Linked DNA regions of Coturnix japonica. The protein of the gene in region 1 purifies or fractionates together with the protein of each later gene. This does not show direct contact. Links are inferred from orthologs where the notes say so. Each region holds a gene or a part of one and is shown on either strand. Other genes may lie near its edges.

What was found. Proteins that work in one complex are often made in the same cells at the same time.
Region 2: the proteins of PSME3 (region 1) and MRPS34 purify together in Homo sapiens (co-immunoprecipitation; 3 studies listed by BioGRID and IntAct, counting the BioPlex papers as one, with this or other methods). This does not show direct contact. The link is inferred for Coturnix japonica from reciprocal best matches to the Homo sapiens genes PSME3 and MRPS34.

Annotation. Positions count from the first base shown.
Region 1 is NC_029542.1:4,666,552-4,671,346, forward strand, and holds the end of PSME3 (proteasome activator complex subunit 3), read left to right. Parts: intron 1-261; coding exon 262-374; intron 375-556; coding exon 557-625; intron 626-1,074; coding exon 1,075-1,142; intron 1,143-1,286; coding exon 1,287-1,341; intron 1,342-1,604; coding exon 1,605-1,691; intron 1,692-2,198; coding exon 2,199-2,279; 3' UTR 2,280-3,954; downstream 3,955-4,795. UniProt on the Homo sapiens protein: Subunit of the 11S REG-gamma (also called PA28-gamma) proteasome regulator, a doughnut-shaped homoheptamer which associates with the proteasome. 11S REG-gamma activates the trypsin-like catalytic subunit of the proteasome but inhibits the chymotrypsin-like and postglutamyl-preferring (PGPH) subunits.
Region 2 is NC_029529.1:12,398,015-12,402,474, reverse strand, and holds MRPS34 (28S ribosomal protein S34, mitochondrial), read left to right. Parts: upstream 1-1,632; 5' UTR 1,633-1,693; coding exon 1,694-2,011; intron 2,012-2,077; coding exon 2,078-2,120; intron 2,121-2,796; coding exon 2,797-3,068; 3' UTR 3,069-3,482; downstream 3,483-4,460. Other genes in the region: putative oxidoreductase GLYR1, read right to left, coding at 980-1,017. UniProt on the Homo sapiens protein: Required for mitochondrial translation, plays a role in maintaining the stability of the small ribosomal subunit and the 12S rRNA that are required for mitoribosome formation.

The sequences.
Region 1 (4,795 bases):
AAAATCCTTGTACCTAGGCTCAGCAGGCTGGAGCTCTCCAGTTCTCATCTAAGCTCTGTATTTTCTGTCTTCTTTCCTCTGTGGCAATCATGGCTATCCCATGCCCAATTTCCCCCTTCCTCACAGGTTAGCTGTATCCTGGCTCAGTGTCCACTGCTAGCCTTTGTAGGAGACATAATGCTCAGGTGGACATTTGGTCTGATCTTCTGGTGTACCTGTTCCCACGTGGGGCTGATGTATTTGTCTTCTTTGCCACTGTAGGTACCAAAGTATTTGTGATGCCCAATGGGATGCTGAAGAGCAACCAGCAGCTGGTGGACATCATTGAGAAAGTGAAACCAGAGATCAGGCTGCTTATCGAGAAGTGTAATACGGTGGGTGTGGGCCACAGCCCTGAGTTCTGGAGCAGATGGGGGCACTAGAATACTTTTGCTCCTTTGCTTGTGTGAAGGTTCTCTGAGAAAAGGAGCAGGTTCCTCTGTATTTTATAAATGACAGTGGTATGAATCCTGTAAAAATCTTGACAGTGATCTATATAGTGATCTTTCTATTGCAGGTCAAAATGTGGGTGCAACTTCTAATTCCCAGGATAGAAGATGGAAACAACTTTGGTGTTTCTATTCAGGTAAGATATTGTTGGCTATGTTGTGGTCTTGTATTATAGTGTGTTATCTTGCATTTTGATATCTGATGTAGTAAATTAGTTTGTTTCTCATCAGACTGTTGCTGTTTTCTTTTAAGGCCCATCTCTCTACCCTTCTCCCCTTTTTTCCCTTTTCCCTTTCCCAGGGTGTGGGTCTGTGTGTACTGCTGCCCTGCTAGTTACGGAACCGGGCTGAACCAGCCTGTAAACCACTGACAGGCTGTATGCCCTACTGTGGCAGGGAACTATGCCCCCAAGAGCATGTACCTTTAGGTTTCTTCCAAATCATTTGATGGTATCCAATGTCTGCAGTGGTGGAGTTGGTTTAGGTTTTAAGATCCAAATCTAAGCTTGACATGGAACTGCTACGACCTGGTACTTCTAGAGCGGCGATGGGCAGTTTCAGTATCATGAAAAGGCTTCCTTTGCAGGAGGAAACAGTTGCTGAACTTCGAACTGTGGAGAGTGAGGCAGCATCCTATCTGGACCAGATTTCTAGGTATGAAGGAACAGAGCCCTTTCTGGGAGTGCTGCTGGGAAAAGGAACCTTTTGGGGAAGGTCCTCCAGCTTTGCTGGGGCAGATTGTGCCTGGAAGAATCTTGGTACTGTTTGTCTGATTTGTAGTCTCCATTTTCCTAACAGATATTATATCACAAGAGCCAAGTTGGTTTCCAAAATAGCTAAATACCCTCATGTGGTAAGTAAATGGGGAAGTGGTGCTTTACAGTTTACATGCTGTTGCTTTCTGGGACTCTTCAGGCTACTTCATCACTGTCTTAATTTTGAGCTAGGGGCCCTGTGGGAAAAGGGGGGGCTATATAAGAATATGCAGAATATCTTCATTAGAGAAGAGGAAACTGAAAGGGGGGATTCCTTTGTAAAAGGTAGGACCTTCAGTTGATACCATGTATCAAGCACACCTGAGCTCAGGCCTCTTAGCCATGCATCTGTTTTCTGCAGGAGGACTACCGGCGCACAGTGACAGAGATTGATGAGAAGGAGTATATTAGTCTGCGCCTGATCATTTCAGAGCTGAGGAATCAATATGTAAGTGAAAAAACAGAGCTCTCACTGGCTCCCCACATAATAGAAAGAGTCCTTTTGATCCTTCTACTGCTCTCCTCTTTCCCTATGATTACAGCTAGTCCTGGAGAGAAGCCTATCTTTTCCCCAGTCTGCTTTGGCTCTAACAAGAGCTAAGTGTTTATTGGCTCCCCACCATCTCCCAGAGATGTGGATGTTTCCAACTTGAGTATTCATGGGAGCTGAGTGCAAAATATTCAGTACACTGCTCTAGGAGCGCTGCTGCAATCCTAAATTCTTCAGGCAGTACAGACCATTCTTTTGATGTCTTCTCTTTTTTGTATTGCACACATTAGCTTCTCTAAAGTGTTGCGGAAGAAAGCACTTATTTTAAGCAGAAATGTGATTGCAGGCAGGGGTTGAAAGTAGTACCAGGATGAGCTGTGAAACTGTTCAAGTCAGTGGTTGTGAAACCTGAATGCTAAGTGACATCCCCCCTTCATTTCTGAGTTGTGTTCTCCCTTTTTGCAGGTCACTTTGCATGACATGATCCTTAAAAACATTGAGAAGATCAAGAGGCCTCGGAGCAGCAATGCTGAGACCCTTTATTAAGTGTCAACGTTTGAACTTGAGAACTGTTCAGTCAACTAAAGACCGTCATTGCCTTGGTTTGTTACATGACTATCGAGATGGGAAACTGGCTGGAAATAGTTTTGCATTCTTAGTTAAAATCTAAAGAAATTATCACCTAGTTTTGTGATTGGTTTTATTCAGGTCTCAGGAGCTCTCCCTCCCTCTAGTATATCTGGTAAAGAAAAAGGCCTTGCTGCTTTGGGATGCCCTAGAGGCTACTGCAGAGTGAGAGCAGAGCGCCAGCCAGGCAGGAACATTCCTTCATGCCTTTCTTCCTACCTGAGTAGGAGCTACAGTAGAGATCAGGCCCTTGTCTTGTCCCATCTCTTGGCTGGAGACTTCTCTGTGGTCTCTGTGAATGGGGCAGACCATCTTCAGCTCAAGACTAAGCCTGGATGGTGGTGCAGTGGCTGAAAGCCAGCTCTCTTCACTGCTGGCTGCAGCTGAGCCCCTCTGCCTATGCTCTGCACTGACTTATTTGCAAAGACAGAGGATCCTGCCCCTTCTGGGTTGGTGGCCACAGCCACGTTGCAGTGCCACTGAGAGGCCTGTAATCGTTTTGTGGCTTTTTTGACTCAGTAGAGCGTGGCCCATCTGTCTCTGCCTTGGTTCTGAGCGGGTCAATGCAGAGCTGAAGGTTGTGCTTGTCACTAGGGCTGATTGCTGTACTGGCTGGTTGTGAGCGCATATGGCTTCTGCTCCAGTCTGCAAATTGACTAGAGCCACTTTCTTGGTTAAAACCAACTTCATGGGAGTCTTCATGCCTCCTTGGTATGAGCTGCTTTTGCCCAGGCTGAGAAAGGAGGAGCCAGAGGTGTGATGCTAAACTCCTGATAGCTTCCATGTGTGGTCAGACTGCAACCTGCTTTCTCCTGGCAGTGCTTCCTGCTGTCCAGGCGCAGCAGGCCAGCTGTGACAATAGTGCTTGGGGTGAGGATGGCCAATTCCTACCTGGTACCGTTGCAAACCTTGTATTCTTTCCCCTGCAAAAGAGCACCCTTGTGTGCCTATTGACTCCTCTAAGCTGCTGGAACATTTCATGGTCCATTACAAACCCCTTTGGAAATGATTGGTTGTGTTGCGTCAGTTTTTGTGTGTGGGAAGTGATCCCATAATGCTGCAGGCTCCAAATTTTTTATTTATAATATTTCTACTTAAGTCCCATATTCAGGGAATGTTAAATCATTTATTTCTGGAACCTCACTGTTTCCCAGGTCTTGTTGTTACACCCATATATTCTTATTGTGCAGTAGCCTTAATAGTTGTGTTAACTTCATTGTAACAACAGTGACAAATGGAATGAAATTTCTCTCCTTTTTTTTTTTTTTTAAAACTATTTTTTTTCTGCTTCCACCTCTAAGAGCCATGTTGTCTCTTGCTGGTTTCCTAGGGATTTCCCCAGAGTGTGGAGGGCCACCAGCCCTTGCTGTAGACTCTTCTGTTGTTGTTTGTAGTAAGTCAACTCTTAGTCTTCCCGCTAATAAATATTCTGTAACAAACCAACTGCGTTGTAGCTGCTGTCCTGGAGCAGCACTCCCCCTTGTGTTTCTTTGTATTGATTTATTTTAATTTGTTGAGCTCTCCTTGCCAGATGAAAGTATGTAAACTTTTACCATGTCAAGAAATTAAAATAAGGTACTTTGAATTCTTTTAAGACAGCCCCTTGTCTGTGATACTGAGCTCTGCAGTGTTGGTGTCTGTTCTCGGTCGTGCATTTCACACATCCAGTGGTTCCTTCCATTCGTTCTCCTCATTCTTTTTGACTTGATACTGCTATGTGTGTGCTGCTTTGTAGATTGTTTCTGTTCCTTCAGCATACTTTATATTAAGCACAAGGGCTTGAATTTGATGAGATCTGCCCTGTTCTTGCCTTTTGTGTTGTACTCAGGCCATCTTGGCTCACTCAGGTACAACTGATTTGCATGATGGTGTTCTAAGAGCTGCAACCCACTCCACGGCTGCTCTTGCATCTGTGCAGAGCAGATGTGTGCAGTGTCATAGGACATGCATCTGAATGTTGTACCTGACACGTGTATTCAGTGCATGGTCCATTACTCTCTTGATGTTACTGTGCATGCAGTACAAAGGGGACATGGGCTAAAGCATCCTCAGCGTTACCCAGAGGCGTGCTTTTGTTCTCATTCCTGTTCCTCAGCACATGTGGCATGCAGCCTGGGCTGCAGGGACCTGCTCAGCGGTGTTCAGCCAAGTGCCATTCATTCCCCAGCACCCTGTCTGGGAGCTGCTGGTGTCCAGCCTGTTCTGCTCTGTGACAGGGAGGCTGTGTCTCTTACAGCTTGGTTGCCACTAGGTGGGGGCTGTGATCCAGCCTGAGAAGTGCTGGGAGGCCGGGTGAGACCTGGCCAACCTGTCCTCAAAAGTCTTCAGCCACCAAGAAGAAGCACAAGCGGCAGCTGCTGCTCAGCTGCATTCTGCCTCCTGCTGGGCCATTGGCTGCGAGGTGCTTCCTGTGGAGTGGGAAAATACTGATGGTG
Region 2 (4,460 bases), on another chromosome or scaffold:
TGGCAGCTGCCCAGGCCATCACATACAAAACTAAAGCAGGATGATCTGCATTCCAACACCAAGAGCAGTGCTGCCCAAATGCCTGTTTGAAGCAAACGGAGCAGGAAGGAAGATTGATTTACTTTCTTATACATGTATTTAACAGCTTCACAGCACTGTCAGCTATTCAGATGAGAAGCTGCAGCTGTCCCGCAGCCAGGAGCAAACCTTCCTTCTGACCCGAGGGAAACACACAAAGCTGCGTGTGGGGATGAGCCACTTGTTGCAGGCCCCAGCACGGAGCCCTAACCCGGCTGCTGCAGCGGAGCCGAAGGAATCCCCTCAGTGCTCCCGATCGGGAAATACAAAAGCACTGCGAGTATTGGGGGGAAACTGGAGTGACAAAGGGACGGAGCGTCAGTGAGCGTCAATGAGCACATCACACCCTAACACATCCCAACCCATCCTGACCTGCAAGACAAACAAAGAGCCTCTTTCCCGTGTTATTGCGCTGCCTGCGGTTCCCAAATCGCCGCTGTTCCGTCACTCGCTCCTTTTCCTCCGCTCCCTCCCGGGCTGATGCCCCGTTTCCATCCGGTCCCGTTGCCGCCCCTCGGTCCCGCACGTCGCCCCGCGCCGTGTCCGCTCCCCTGGACGCGCTGGGCCCGAGCCCGGCAGCAGCTCCGCCATCAGCTCCGCCATCCCCGCGGGCGGCGTCACAGGAACGGAGACACTCGGCGACCACGGAACCCGCCGGGACCCACCGGATCCCGCCCCTCCCGGTGCAGCGCGGCCTCGCCTGGCACCGCCCGGCCGGGCCCCACCGCCGCGCTCGGCCGAACCGGGCGCAGCCCCACCGAGCCCCGCCCGCTGCTCCGAGCGGAGCCTCCGTGCCGCTCCATCGGGCACCGCGGAGGAGCTTCACTCCATCGGACCGGACCGGACCGGATCGGATCGGATCGGACCGCGCTCCGCCCGCAGCGCAGCGCACTGAACTCACCACACCAGGTCTCCGAGCCTCAGACTCACGGCCGCCATCTTACCGACACCGCGCAATGCACCACGGGACAGCACAGCACCACGAGGGGCGGGGGCGGCGGAGACGGTGATTGGACGGTAGCGGTCACGTGGGCGGGAGGGCTGTCAGCGGCTGCAACCGGGGGGTGGGAGCGAGGGGAACGGCGGGACCGGGACATGGGACGGGACAGCACCGGGACACCGGGACACCGACAGCACGGACAGGCCGCCATCGGGGCCGGATGGTGCTTTGGTTCCCGGCTGCTCGCCCTGACGGCCGGTTCACGTTGAGCACTCCACTCGTTAATTCAAGCAGCCACGTTCTCCCGGTGCCGCCCCGCGGGCAGCGGCTGTTGTCGGTACAGACACGTGGAGCCGTTTCCCGTGGCTGTGCCCGGCTCCTCCCGCCCGTCGCTGCCCGGTACCGGTCGCCATGGACACGGCGCCATGTTGTTGTTGTTGTTGTTCTGATCCCGCCCGTAACAACCCGCCCCCACCGGCAGCTCCGCGCCCTGCGGGCGGGGCGGGACCCGCTTCCGGTACGGGGCCCTGGGGCGGGGCGGACTTCCGGGGGGCGCCGGAAGCGGCGGGTGGAGGCGGACGGGAACCGGGCGGGGCCACTTCCGGGGGCGGGGCCTGAAGCGGCTTCCGGAGGGCGCCGGAAGTGCCGGTAGCGGCGGGGTCGGGTTGTGGCGCCATGGGCCGTAAGAAGCTGCACCGGCCGATCGCCGCCATGGCCCGGAAGGTGCGCGAGTACCGCGCCATGAAGGAGCGGCCGCGGGACTCGCAGCGCTTCGCTCTGGACTACGAGACCATGAGGCGGCCGCTGACGCAGAAGCGGCTCCCGGTGTTGGCCTGGCGCGATGTGCGGCACGAGCAGCGTTTATTCTCGTTGCTGTGCCGGCTGCCGCTGTTCGGGTTGGGCCGCATGGTCACCCGTAAGTCGTGGCTGTGGGCGCACGACGAGCCCAGCTACTGGGTCATCACCAAGGTCCGCGCCGACTACACGGCTCAGGTAACGGGGCGGGGAGCGGGAACCGCCGTGTGACGGCACCGGAATGAACGAGCAACTTCATTGCAGGGGATGGATCACGGCAGGGCCTGGGGGCGGCTCACGTTCAGAGGTGAGGAGTCACGGCACGAGCCGAGCGGCTGTAACGGACGTTAATGGGGAACCGCAACGCTGAGCTCGGGCTGAGCTGCGGGTTGGGGTGAGGGGCTGATTCCGGACCTGGGATGGATGTAAAGTGTGAGCTGAGCACACGGGGATGGGCAGGGAAAGGAATCGGAGCAGCATTGGGGGCTCCTGGATGAGACTGTAAAGTAACTCATGGAGCTGAATGTGTGAAGTGTCCATTTCCCAACCCACTTTACATTGTGTTTATAAGTCCCGTTTATTAGAGCTTTTGAAACGTTTCTCATTCAAAGGTTTTAAAGTTGTTGAGCATTTCTGTCATTAAACTTCATAGCGTGGAGATGCTCTTATTGTTTACCATGGAAACTAATACAGAGGACAAGCTGCTCCTTGCATTACAAGTCATGACCTCTGCACAATGTGGAGCTGCTGGTCTGTGACTTTTCAGTCTGTTCCTGGTCAGATCCCAAGGTCTGCAGTGGGATCCCATAGCGCAGCACTGATGGTACCAGGGGCTCTGTTGGAATTTTCCTTTGCTACCAGGGGCTCTGTTGGAATTTTCCTTTGCCATTTCTTTCTTCAATATCTTCGTACAGGAGTTGACACTTGCTGCAGTTTCTGGAGCTGCTGAGCGTTGCCCACTAATGTTCATTGTCTTTTATCAGGTAAAACTGAAGAAGAAGACAGAGAGATTGACAAGGTCATGTATCACGACTGGCGGATGGTGCCCAAGCACGAGGAGGAGGCCTTCAAGAAGTTCACCCCGGTGCCAGAGGAGACGTGTTGGTTCCTTCCATACCCACCTCTGCTCCGAGCCATGATCATTGCTCAGTGGCAGAAAGAGGGGAAAGAAATCACAGAGGAGCCAATGCTTGATGTGCAGAGGCCTTCCCGTGTTAATGCTGCAAAGAAAGACGCCACAGGGACAGTGTTGTGAGGTCCATTAAGGTCCTGCTCTGTGTCCCGAGCTTCCCACGTGCTCTCGTTTCACAGTGGCAGTACATGACGTTACTGCAGACCCCCTTGGTACCTACAGTGGTACAGTGCATCCAACTGACCTCGTTTCCTCCCCTGGACTGTACTGTAATCTCATCTGAAAGGGAAGGTGCAGATGCATTTGGATTTTCATTTTTTTCCCCTCTTTGGTCTCAGTCAGATCCACTGTATGTTCTCTGAACTCAGAGCTCCTTCACACAGCTCCGCTGCTTGGGAGCAGTTTCATTTGCAGCTTGAAAAATCGAAGGTTTCTCATGTAGTTAAAGTCAGTCCTAAATCATGGAGGAACAACTGAGTTAAACGTGACGTTATTTTACAGACCCAAAATAAATGATTTCATGTTTCCACAGCATAATTCTAAGACAATTTGTTCTTTGGTGGGTGATTTATTTATTCAGTGCGTGGAGATCCGCATGATGGTTTGTTGGGGTCCAATTTTAGCCTTTACGATACAGGGTGAGCATCAGAATATCACTGGTGGATTTACACCTTGCAGCTGGAGGGGACTCCCCAAGAACAGCTGTGGGCCAAAGCATCTGTCCTTTATTTCCAGCACCAAGGGAAGCCTCGCTGTGCGCTGGGCACGTGGCTGGCAGGACCAGCCCTTCCTGGTCAAACAGTAAGGAACACACATCTCATTTCTGCTGACTGGGTGCCATTCTCACCACTTTAAGTGTCACCATGTTGCTAAAGGCTGCACAGAAGCCCCGGTGGCCTTTCCAGGAACAAGACATACTGACGCTTTCTGATGTTAACACATTTATTACATACAGAACAGATATGGTTTGTTGTTTGATAGCATAGGGAAAAAAGCACGGGAACGTATTCATACAGCGGTCTCTTTACAGAATGCCATCTTCAGACCAAAGAGCGGAGTTTACAGGCCTTAAGACACTTTTTAAAATCCTTTTGTAACATACAAGATACTTTACATACATCACAGTGGAGATTTGACAGGGGGTGTGTTGAAGCCAGTTCTCACCTTGCCGCCCAGCAGCCGCCACATCCCGACAGGAGCCGACAGCAGGGGCTGACTCTGCTGAGCTGGAGCCGCCCCTGTGTCGTGTGCTTCTCTTGGAGGACACCACGAACCAAACTGGGAAGGAACCCTTGGGCCCAAGAGTGGTTGGTTTCCTTCTGTTGCCACGGACCAGGGGGTGACAAAAGTCTGAATATTGTCACTTCTACCACTAAAACCAGATAAAGAACAAGTTGTAAGAGGTAAGAACGCTGTAATTCTGTGTTTTTATGCTGAAGGTTTGATGCACCTGAAGAACTGGATTTGCCATTGAGTGAGACCGAATTGTGCCATTTTCCTGGCTCTGATTAACTG